3 linked regions of the Coturnix japonica genome follow. The protein of the gene in region 2 interacts with the protein of the main gene of each other region in a pairwise test. Links are inferred from orthologs where the notes say so. Each region holds a gene or a part of one and is shown on either strand. Other genes may lie near its edges.

Region 1 (3,646 bases), on a different chromosome or scaffold from region 2:
ACGTGTATTTAGTTATTATAGTTGTACATTTGTTATGTACATGCAATTTCTACTATTTAGGCTATCATAGTTTTACATACGTGGCATATATTGTATATATATCTACCCATGATCGTACTAATGTTAGAAAGGGGTGGAATGTCCCATGGTTTTGTATTTGCTATCAGTATTCCACATCATAACATCATGTAAGCATGGCATACTCTATTGAATGTGCAGTCCGGCACAGAAGAAGTCCTAACATAATCCCAGAGAACAACAGGGGTAATGATAAGTCACGGAACCAGGACGCTATATAATCTTGTTCCCGAGGCTGGAGTGCCCTTCTTCTCTCGAACTTCTCGGAGAAGTGGGAAGCGTTCCAGAGCGTGTACGCCTAGAGTTCATTAGTAGGCCTCTCAGTTTTTCGGGACTCTCTCTCTCTCTGTTTCGTTCGATTCGTTAGCCTGCAATTATATTATATGTGTTATGTTGTATTTCGATATCATACTTAGTAAAATAGTTTTTCCTCCTTAGATTGCCAACTGTTTTTTATCCCATTCCCCTTTTCCCCCTCCTTTCTGGGCGCCGGGGGGGGAGGGGGGGGGGGCACAGGGTGGCTTCCCCTGTCACGGGCATAGGTAAATCTAAGTAACTCGTGACAGTTGGTAACTGTAAAGCCTCTCTGAGACCAGAGCTACACTGTCTACTTTGTTTAGAAGAACATCCCATGACCAATCATAATGAAATGATAAAACAAATCAGATACCCCATAAAGACCTGTAAAATGCTTCATTCTCAGTTGTTCCTTGGTGGATAAAATCCATTTTCATTTATTCTTATTTGCTGCAGATTATGTTTTTATCTACTAAGCTTTCTTATAGACTAAAATGAGGTATGTTAACGAGAGGTTAAGATGGCTTCTGTAATCTCATAGAAGGACAAAGCAAACTCACTGGGAGCCACAAGTTTCAGTTCCCGAGTAACAGCGCCAAGGTCGTTTCTTGCTACACATCTGACAGCCAGGGTTTCCTCTACCTTCTGGAAGGTCACCTGGCTTTCCACCATATTCTTCTCATCCAAGTGGGCTTCCATGTGTATATCAGAGACGTTGCTAGTCAGAAGAGTCCAGGAAGTGTCATTGCTGCATCTGCAGAGAGTGACAGTGGAAATACATGTTGGATGTAGGTGTAGATAAAAAGTCACCACAGTGGGAATCATCTTTTCCTATGCCTTTCTTCTGTCAATTATATTTTTAAAGAAATGCTTAAGACCACCTCTGTGAAAAGCCTGCATCATTCATATCCTGTAGAGTTATAGCAGTGGATCTCTACTTCTGCCTGAATCCTTCATGCCATACAAGGCTTCCTGGGGCAGGGCTAAGAGGACAACTGTCCCAGGTGGCAGGAGGAGATTTTAGTGCAGTGGGAGTGGAGCACAGCTGGGAGGTCCCAGGGCTCCTAGCCTCCCTTCATGTTTAGTCTCCTTTTCCTTGGATCCTTACAGATTCCTTTAGTCTCCTTTTCCTTGAATCCTTACAGATTCCCAGGGAGAGCTCAGCAGTTCCCAGCAGCTACAGAAGAAAACAGTCTAGAACTAGCAAAACCAGGAATGATTACTACATGTGTCTAGAAGTCTTAGAAGGTGAAAATTATAATCTGGGGAGAAACTGTCCAAGTGAAAATTTAGAAGCACACAAGAGTATTAATGAGGCAACAGGGCTACCTGTGAAGTAGCAGGAGTCCTCAGAATGGAAAGACAGTTAACTTTAAGATCTACTACATTCAATTATTGAACACAGAACTTTTATCAAAGTTAAATGGATGCATTGTGTATTCTTCTATAGGACATTAACACTAGGAAGGGTACTGAAAACCTCTCAAAATATAAGCAGTGTGTCTCCAAAAAGACATCAGAATTATGGCTTACTGGCTCTTGATGAAGAAAACACGGTATGATAACTAATAATGTTAAGCTAGCCAAGAACAACGGAGTCATGTTTTAGATAACAAAGTTCCTCTTCTTCTTACTTTTTAATGTCCTTGCAAACCAACCATTCCACATCAGGAAGCGGGGTCCCTTCAGCCAAGCACCTCACTGTCTGCCTGCCAGTGGAGCCCTGGTGGTCATCCACAAGGTCTAAGATCAAGGCTGGAACTGGAAAGGAGTCAAGAATTTGTTAAAACGTTCAACAGGGTCTAAAAGAGCAGCCTGAAATCTCAAACAAAGCAGGGCAGGTACTGTTTGTCTGACAGCTTAGTGGCATCTAGAGCCACTTGGCCAGGAGGTCCCTGTCTGCTGAAGAACACAGGGTATCACAAGCTAGAGCGATGAAAAGAAAGTGCTGCGTGTATGCCACGTCCTCATGTCATGCTAAATGAGTTATCGTTCCCGCTGTCAGCTGGAATAACTTAGACAGGAGGATAAAGTTTCTTTCTGGCACAAGGCCAGTGCAGAAGTCAAAGCCAGGATTACAGTATGAGAGCTACGAGGACTCAGCAGACATGCACTGCTCCAGACACCCCAGTTCACACTTCTCTTATCTCTATAGCCCAGGCAATCCAGTATTCATTGTTGACCCATACATAAGTGGATCAAATTCATGCTGTGGCCCATCAGTTCTGGTAAGGAAGGCTTTTGAAGCCATTACCTTGTATTAGCAAGGAGAAGGTGTATCTCTTAACCTCATCTTCATTTTCAGCAACCAAAGTATAGTACCCACTGTCTTCTTCCTTGGCCCGGATCAATTTTAGTACACTTTGAAACCTGCAGAAATGAGAGTTTTGGTTTATATTTTTGTATTTTTACATTTTGTTTGTATGTTGAAAGCAGGCATAAAAAATCTACTTCAATGCAACATATAATCTGGACACACGGATATTATAATGTGCTGACACTCAGCATTTCTGGCATGCCTTCGCACTAAAATCATTGTTCAAACAGTAAATAGTCACCAAAACACAACCAAGAAAGAAGTGGGCATTATTATATCCTGCTTGGCTCCAACGAAGACTGCGATGTTTCTAGAAATAGCTAAAGATAATTAGAGAGAAGATTTCTTGGAGGGACTGAAGAGGGTTAGTACCTAGAATCCAAGATTTGTATGGTTTAGAGATGTTAATGTTATTAAGGCATCACCCTTTAGAGCAGAAAACATAGGATTTTTAAATGTTATTGAGGAAGAACTGCAGTGGAAAGAGAAAGCAGAAGTTCTCAGGTTTCTAGGGGAGAAACACTTGAGTCATCGTGGCAAAGTAAGATTCATAAGAGTATTTTTACCGTGTTTCCTGGACTCTGTTTGAACTAGTAACAATCTCAGTAAGGTTTTCAATCAGAGTCACATTATCCTTCAACCAGTACATTTTTGGAGCGGGGTACGCCTGCACATCGACGACAAAATTTTTGACTTCATGTAGATTGACAGCTTCCAAAGGGCTAAACTGAGGCTCTAGATGAATGAACCCTTTGTCTGTAAATGAAAAAGCCACGCATGAACAATGCTGTGCAGCATTTTTCAAGAAGAGTGTTTTCCAACACATTAATAATTTTTGGACACTGAAATGAGACTATACCATGAACTGTAATGACTACTTTCTTATTTTCCTTAACCTCCTTGGTTGCATGTCGAGCAGTACATTCATAATCCCCTGTGTCCTTCACTGATGCG
Region 2 (3,646 bases):
GGAGCATCAGGGGGTGACCCCATCCCCACATCCCCTGTCACCTCCCGTCCTGCAGCCAGGTGACATCCATCATTGCTGGTGTGGTGGGGGCTCTGCTGGTCGTCGTCCTTCTGCTCATCACCGTCGTCTGCGTCAAGCGCCGGCGGCAGCAGGAGAGGAAACACACCATGAGGCGGCTGCTGCAGGAGACTGAGGTGGGGGGGCTGGATGACCCTGGGGGGGGCTCAGAGTGTTGTCCCTCCTCACCCACTTGTCCCTCGCAGCTGGTGGAGCCGCTGACGCCCAGCGGGGCCCTCCCCAACCAAGCACAGATGCGCATCCTCAAGGAGACGGAGCTGAAGAAAGTGAAGGTTTTGGGCTCCGGCGCTTTCGGCACTGTCTATAAGGTGAGGGGTGGGAGGCACAGTCAGTGGGATGGCACCATCTGTGTCCTCACTCACCGCCCCCCCACCCCCCATAGGGCATCTGGATCCCCGATGGGGAGAGCGTGAAGATCCCGGTGGCCATCAAGGTGTTGCGGGAGAACACATCACCCAAAGCCAACAAGGAGATCCTGGATGTGAGTGCAGGGGAGGTGGGCACGGGGCTGGGGAGTCGGTGCCAACCTGACCTATCTGTGCTGCCTGCAGGAAGCCTATGTGATGGCCGGGGTGGGCAGCCCCTACGTGTCGAGGCTGCTGGGCATCTGCCTGACCTCCACGGTGCAGCTGGTGACGCAGCTGATGCCCTACGGCTGCTTGTTGGACTATGTGAGGGAGAACAAAGACCGCATCGGATCCCAGGACCTGCTCAACTGGTGTGTGCAGATCGCCAAGGTAAGAGAGGGGGCTGCTGAGGGGCTGTGGGGGGGATGTAGATGTGGGGCTTAACGCCTGCTGCCCAGGGGATGAGCTACCTGGAGGAGGTGAGGCTGGTGCACCGTGACCTGGCTGCTCGCAACGTCCTGGTCAAGAGCCCCAACCATGTCAAAATCACCGACTTCGGGCTGGCACGGCTGCTGGATATCGATGAGACCGAGTACCACGCAGATGGGGGCAAGGTGGGACATGGGGACGGGGCAACAGGGAGCGCGGTGTCCCCTGAGGGTCCCGCTCACTCCTCCCACCCACCCAGGTCCCCATCAAGTGGATGGCGTTGGAGTCCATCCTGCGCCGGCGCTTCACCCACCAGAGCGATGTCTGGAGCTACGGTGCGTCCCTATGGTGGCTGTGGGGGGCAGGGGGTCCCAAACCAGCACTTACCCCACATCCCCATGTCCTCAGGTGTCACCGTGTGGGAGCTGATGACCTTCGGGGCGAAACCTTACGATGGGATCCCGGCACGAGAGATCCCCGACCTGCTGGAGAAAGGCGAGCGGCTGCCGCAGCCGCCCATCTGTACCATCGATGTCTATATGATCATGGTGAAATGTGAGTGGGGGGGACATGGGGACGTGGGGGCCAGGACCCCAACGCCGCCCTCACGGTGCTCGGCTCTGCCCCAGGCTGGATGATCGACTCCGAGTGCCGGCCCAAGTTCCGTGAGCTGGTCACCGAGTTCTCCCGCATGGCCCGCGACCCCCAGCGCTTTGTGGTCATCCAGGTAATGGGGTCTCAGGGGGGTCTCGCCTTCAGCATTGCCCCAACGGGCACTGACAGCCCCCCCTGACCCCCAGAACGACATGATCGGGCTGCCCAGCAACATGGACAGCACCTTCTACCGGGCGCTGCTGGAGGAGGAGGACATGGACGACCTGGTGGATGCTGAGGAATACCTGGTCCCTCACCAGGGCTTCTTCAGTGCTGAGACCTCCACCGCGTACCGCAGCCGTATCTCCTCCACGCGGGTAAGGGCTGACCTGGGGCATCGTGCTGCTGCAGGGCGCACAGGGTGCAAGTTCTCTAATGCCACCCACAGACCCTATAGACCCCACAGCACCGTGCCCGACTCCGTGCCCTTTGCCTCCTCAGAGCACAGCAGAGACCCCAGCTGACACGACAGAGGGGGAGGAATCAGCCGCCTTCCCCTTCCCACCGCAGAACCTGGTGGAGGGGTCAGAGTGCCCCGTGTCGGAGGCTCTGGAGGTGGATGTTGGGGCCAAGGGAGCCCTGCCGAGCCCCCCAGCCACACGGTACAGTGAGGACCCCACCGCGCTGCCGGGGGATGAGAGTGAAGGTCTGGACCCTGAGGGCTTCACCACCCCAGCCCCACATACCACTATGCCAGGTAGGGCAATATAGGACCCTGGGGAGGGGGGCAAGGACCCTGTTTGGCTGCTGACATCCCTTTTCCCTGCAGAGTACGTGAATCAGGCTGGGGAGCTGCCGTCACCCCCCCGGCTCCCCTGTGCACCACCATCCCCACCAGACAAGCCCAAGGGCCACCAAGGCAAGAACGGGCTCATCAAGGACACCAAGCATCCCTTCCTGGGGCCCTTTGGCCACGCCGTGGAGAACCCCGAGTACCTGGCCCCCCCGGGGCTGCCGGTCCCCACAGCCTTCAGCCAGGCCTTCGACAACCCCTACTACTGGAACCAGGACCCCCCCAAAGCTGGGAGCCCTGAGGGTGGGCCCAGCTCCACGCCAGCAGCTGAGAACCCGGAGTACCTGGGTTTGGCTGAGCCTGAGGACGTGGCTGTGTAGGGCAGGGCCACATACGGACCCCCCCCTTTCACCGAGGCAGCTTGGGGAGGGACGGCACGAGGCCGGCGATGGATGTGGGGGCAGGACTGTCCCCAATCATGGGGGTGCCCTATACTGCAGGAGAGCATAGAGCACTGTGAGACGGCGCAGCAGCACAGGGGGGGGCACAGAGGACCCCCAAAAGGAGCCCCAAAGCCCCACTGAGATGGATGCTCCAACCCCACACGGTTCCTGGAGGAAGAAGAGCAGCATCAACAGGACCGGGAGCCCCATCACCCTGCTCCCCATCACCATACACCTATATACACCTGTATACACCCTGGATACACCTGGACCACGCTGCTGCTGTCCCAGAGCCCCCCACCACCCCTGTGCCCCCAGCCCCCTCCCCACCGGCGCCCAGCAGCGCTGGACACATTGACTTGCACTGAGCAGGTGGACACGGGGCTGCCTGGGCTCCTGCTGGGTTCCCGTTAAGCTGACAGTGTCACCTGGATGTATATTTCATCATTGTAGATGGTTTTTTTTCTACTCCACTTTGTCTGCGTGGTTTGCTCCCATCTCCTCCATCTGCTGCTCTCACTGCAGGGAAAGCCCTGATAGCCAAGAATGGGGCAGCTGCCCTAATCCTGCTTTCATTGCCTGGATCCCCCCCATGCTCTGCAGGGACACAGGGGAAGAGGAGCCACGTTTACCTCCATCCTTTATTCAGCGCTGGGCCCACAGACAGTACATCATAAATAGGGGATGGGCACCAATAGGGGATGGGCACCATTCTGCCACGCTGCCCTGGGCTCAGCTGCCCCAAGGGCAGAGTCATGATGTGGGGAGGGGGAGAGCCGGGAGCCTGGGAACGGGGCAGCAGGGGAAGCTCGTGGCTGTTCAATGAACCCTGGGGCTGTGGGGATGGAGCCAAGCAGGGGTTCCTATAACCAGCCAGTCCCTGCTGCCCTCGTAGCTGTTTAAACAGTGACCAGAGGAGCTGGAATCATTAACAAACCACACTCGAGTTCACGTTCCTCTGC
Region 3 (3,681 bases), on a different chromosome or scaffold from region 2:
CCTCGTGCGCGTGACGTGGTCCCGGGCAGCGGGCGGGGCCGGGGCCGCCCCCGGCGAGGCCGCCCGCGGCGCCGCGTAACCCGAGCGCCGCCCTACAAAGTGCCCGCGCCCTCGGCACAGCGCGGCGGGGCGAGAGTCGGGGCCGCCATGGGGCCGCGGCGCTGAGCGGAGCCCGCCCGGCCCCGCAGGACTTTGCCCGGGCCCTCCCCGACGAGGCCGGTGCGGGGCCGGAGCAGCCGGAGCAGCCGCGCCGTCGGGGCTCCGCGCAGCCGGCGCTGCCCGACGGTCGCGGGGCGCCGCAGCTCCTGGCCGCGGTGCCGCTTCCCACGGGAGGCCCGGAAGATGCTGCCGCTCTGGCTCGTCCTGGCGGGGCTGCTGCTGGCGGTCGGCCCGGCCGCTTCGCACCGCGGGGAGATGGAGCCAGGTACGGACGGGACGGCTGGGGGGGTGAAGGCGGCTCCGGTGCTGGTTTTTCCCGGCCCCGCTTCTCGTGCTTTCGAGCATCGGCAGCCCGGCTGCGGGCTGGGCTGGGTGCTGCGGGCGGTGCCGGTGCGGTGCGGTGGGGCGCACGCGGTGCTGACAGCTGCGGGGCTCGGGGCGCGGCGGCGGCGCGTGGAACACGCGGACAGGGCGGGGGCTGCGGGTCCCGGAGCGGCCGAACCGTCGCTGCTTTGGTTTGTCCCAGCGGTGGTTTTGCTCCGAGCGGCTCTTGAGTTTAGTACAGAGCTGAATATTTGCTTTGGAGCCGCTTTACCAGCGTGGGCCGGGTCCGCGGGGAGCCGGAGGTGGTGGTGGAACTTTGACGCTGATCGCTCCCGGTTCCTTCCCGTCCCAGTACGGCAGAATGGGCGCAGACCCCTCTGGAAGGACCGTGGCGTGGGTGGCCTTGGCCGGGAACGCGGCAGTGCCAGGCGGTCGCGGGGGAAGCCTTGTCCCAGCGCCCGGGGGCAGAGTCCAGCCCTTGTACACGCGTCTCTGGCCAGGACGTGTGTGTGTGTGTGTGTGTGTGTGTGTGTGTGTGTGTGTGTGTGCGCTGTGCACGCCGAGAAGCGCGGTGGGTTCCTGCTGTCCGGGGCGCTGTGCGCGGCGCTCAGCGCGTCTCTCCCGGGCTGCAGAGCTGATTGAGAGCCCGCTGCTGGAGTCGGAGGAGCAGCAGCTCCTGTTGGAGCCGGGCAATGCTCTGAAGCTGCACTGCAACGCTAACCGCAGCGGTGCCACTGTGGTCTGGTACAAGGAGTCGCGGCCGCTGCTCCCGGGGCCCCGCGTCCGCCTCCAGCCGGGCACAGTGCAGATCTCTGAGGTCGCCTACGAGGACTCGGGGCTGTGTGTGTGTCGGGCGCGGGGCACCGGGGAAGTCCTGCACAACTTCACCATCTCTGTAGTGGGTGAGGGCCCGGAGCAGCACTGAGGGGAGCACAGCCTGATTTACCCCATCCTGAAGACAGGGGCACCCCTCGTGACCCGCTTTCCTTTGCAGACTCGCTGGCATCGGGTGATGACGATGAAGACAGTGATGGGGATGGTCCCCACGGAGACCGCAGCGAGGAGCCGGTCTATGTGCACAGAGGTGAGTGCTGTCATGGGGGGAGCGACTGGGGGCAGCCCCCACCCGAGGCCATAAGCCACATCCCACGATGCCCCCCGTCTCTCCCCAGCACCGTACTGGACTCACCCTCACCGCATGGACAAGAAGCTGTATGCTGTCCCTGCGGGGAACACCGTCAAGTTCCGCTGCCCGGCCTCGGGCAGCCCCAGCCCCAGCATCCGCTGGTTCAAGAATGGACGTGAGTTCCGGGGGGAGCACCGCATCGGGGGCATACGGGTAAGGGCCCCCCCCCATGTCATCCTCTCCTCCTGGTGTCTGGCTCAGCTGCAGCCCCCTGAACCTGTTGCTCCCCGTCGCAGCTCCGGCACCAGCACTGGAGCCTGGTGATGGAGAGCGTGGTGCCCTCGGACCGTGGCAACTACACCTGTCTGGTGGAGAACAGGTTCGGCAGCATCCGCTACAGCTACCTGCTGGATGTGCTGGGTGAGGGTCCGCAGGTGGTGCCAGGGGGGTCCCTGCTGCCACTGTGCTGGCGAGAGGGGATGGGCTGCAGGGGATGAAGGCAGAGGAGCCCATCCTCATCTGCTCTGCTTGAGCAGCCCTCGTGTCCCAGCACCTGAGGGAGGTAGGGCTGGGACCCCCCTGGGTACTGTGTGTGACTTTGCCCCTATGCCCTGTGTGCAGAGAGGTCCCCGCACCGGCCCATCCTGCAGGCGGGGCTGCCTGCCAACACCACTGCCCTGGTGGGCAGCGACGTGGAGTTCTTCTGCAAGGTGTACAGCGATGCCCAGCCCCATATCCAGTGGCTGAAGCACATTGAGGTGAACGGCAGCAGCTATGGCCCTGACGGGGTGCCCTACGTGCAAGTGCTCAAGGTAGCAGCTGGGGGGTGGCAGGGTCACATGGAGCTTGTCCCCACACAGGGATGCTCACGGTCCCTCGTTCTGCCCACAGACCGCAGATATCAACAGCTCCGAGGTGGAGGTGCTGTACCTGCGCAATGTCACCATGGAGGACGCAGGCGAGTACACCTGCCTGGCAGGGAACTCCATCGGCCTCTCCTACCAGTCAGCGTGGCTCACTGTGCTCCCAGGTAGGGCTGAGGTTAGAGCTGGGGTTAGGGCTGAAAGCAGCATGGGGACCGTGGTGTGGACTGACGTGTGCTCTCCTTCTAGAAGAAGAGCTGGTGCATGAAGCTGAGACCTCCGAGGCCAAGTACACCGACATCATCATCTACACGTCGGGCTCGCTGGCTGTGGCCATGGCCCTCATCATCGTGGTGCTGTGCCGCATGCAGACACAGTCGAGCAAGCAGCCCCTGGAGCCCATGGCAGTGCACAAGCTCTCCAAATTCCCACTCATCCGACAGGTGAGGGCTGAGCTGGGGGCACCTTGGTGACAACTGGCCCTGCTGCTGCCACCTGTCCCTGTTGCTTGTCCTTGGGGCTGCCCTCACCCCATTGCTCTCAGCAGCACCAGGTCTCAGTGTGACTCCCAGGTGTCTGAGGGCTGCTGTGCTGTCCCCGCAGTTCTCCCTGGACTCCAGCTCATCAGGGAAGTCCAGCACGTCGCTGATGCGTGTCACCCGCCTCTCCTCCAGCTGTGCCCCCATGCTGGCGGGCGTCGTGGAGATGGACCTGCCCCTGGATTCCAAGTGGGAATTCCCTCGAGAAAAGTAAGGAGCTGGAGAGGGCTGGCAGTGCCGGGGCACTGTGCCCCATGGGCTTGGAGCAGGGTCAGCCCCACTGTGTGCTCACAGCTCTGCCTCCCCTGGCAGGTTGGTGCTGGGGAAGCCCCTGGGCGAGGGCTGCTTTGGGCAGGTGGTGCGGGCGGAGGCGTACGGCATCGACAGGCAGTGGCCGGACCGAGCTGTCACCGTGGCTGTCAAAATGCTCAAAGGTATCAGTCGTGCTGTGGCGTCCTGGGCATGGCTGCTGCATTGGTGCCACCCCAGCATCAGTGACACGGCCCTCTGTCAACAGACAACGCCACTGACAAAGACCTGGCTGACCTCATCTCCGAGATGGAGATGATGAAGCTGATGGACAAGCACAAGAACATCATCAATTTGCTAGGAGTGTGCACGCAGGACGGTGAGGGGCTCAGGGGCAGGGGGGTGCTGGGGTGGATGGGGC

What was found.
Region 1: the proteins of ERBB2 (region 2) and PDGFRA interact in a protein complementation assay, tested with the Homo sapiens proteins (2 studies listed by BioGRID, with this or other methods). The link is inferred for Coturnix japonica from reciprocal best matches to the Homo sapiens genes ERBB2 and PDGFRA.
Region 3: the proteins of ERBB2 (region 2) and FGFR4 interact in a protein complementation assay, tested with the Homo sapiens proteins (2 studies listed by BioGRID, with this or other methods). The link is inferred for Coturnix japonica from reciprocal best matches to the Homo sapiens genes ERBB2 and FGFR4.

What each region holds. Positions count from the first base shown.
Region 1 is NC_029519.1:59,024,664-59,028,309, forward strand, and holds part of PDGFRA (platelet-derived growth factor receptor alpha), read right to left. Parts: coding exon 3,552-3,646; intron 3,449-3,551; coding exon 3,259-3,448; intron 2,746-3,258; coding exon 2,630-2,745; intron 2,137-2,629; coding exon 2,010-2,136; intron 1,130-2,009; coding exon 936-1,129; intron 1-935. UniProt on the Homo sapiens protein: Tyrosine-protein kinase that acts as a cell-surface receptor for PDGFA, PDGFB and PDGFC and plays an essential role in the regulation of embryonic development, cell proliferation, survival and chemotaxis.
Region 2 is NC_029542.1:3,928,530-3,932,175, forward strand, and holds the end of ERBB2 (receptor tyrosine-protein kinase erbB-2), read left to right. Parts: intron 1-55; coding exon 56-194; intron 195-263; coding exon 264-386; intron 387-460; coding exon 461-559; intron 560-629; coding exon 630-815; intron 816-883; coding exon 884-1,039; intron 1,040-1,113; coding exon 1,114-1,189; intron 1,190-1,262; coding exon 1,263-1,409; intron 1,410-1,483; coding exon 1,484-1,581; intron 1,582-1,654; coding exon 1,655-1,825; intron 1,826-1,949; coding exon 1,950-2,205; intron 2,206-2,277; coding exon 2,278-2,621; 3' UTR 2,622-3,157; downstream 3,158-3,646. UniProt on the Homo sapiens protein: Protein tyrosine kinase that is part of several cell surface receptor complexes, but that apparently needs a coreceptor for ligand binding. Essential component of a neuregulin-receptor complex, although neuregulins do not interact with it alone.
Region 3 is NC_029528.1:12,077,140-12,080,820, reverse strand, and holds the start of FGFR4 (fibroblast growth factor receptor 4), read left to right. Parts: upstream 1-829; 5' UTR 830-844; coding exon 845-1,385; intron 1,386-1,477; coding exon 1,478-1,567; intron 1,568-1,655; coding exon 1,656-1,822; intron 1,823-1,905; coding exon 1,906-2,029; intron 2,030-2,230; coding exon 2,231-2,421; intron 2,422-2,500; coding exon 2,501-2,639; intron 2,640-2,721; coding exon 2,722-2,915; intron 2,916-3,075; coding exon 3,076-3,221; intron 3,222-3,323; coding exon 3,324-3,445; intron 3,446-3,528; coding exon 3,529-3,639; intron 3,640-3,681. UniProt on the Homo sapiens protein: Tyrosine-protein kinase that acts as a cell-surface receptor for fibroblast growth factors and plays a role in the regulation of cell proliferation, differentiation and migration, and in regulation of lipid metabolism, bile acid biosynthesis, glucose uptake, vitamin D metabolism and phosphate homeostasis.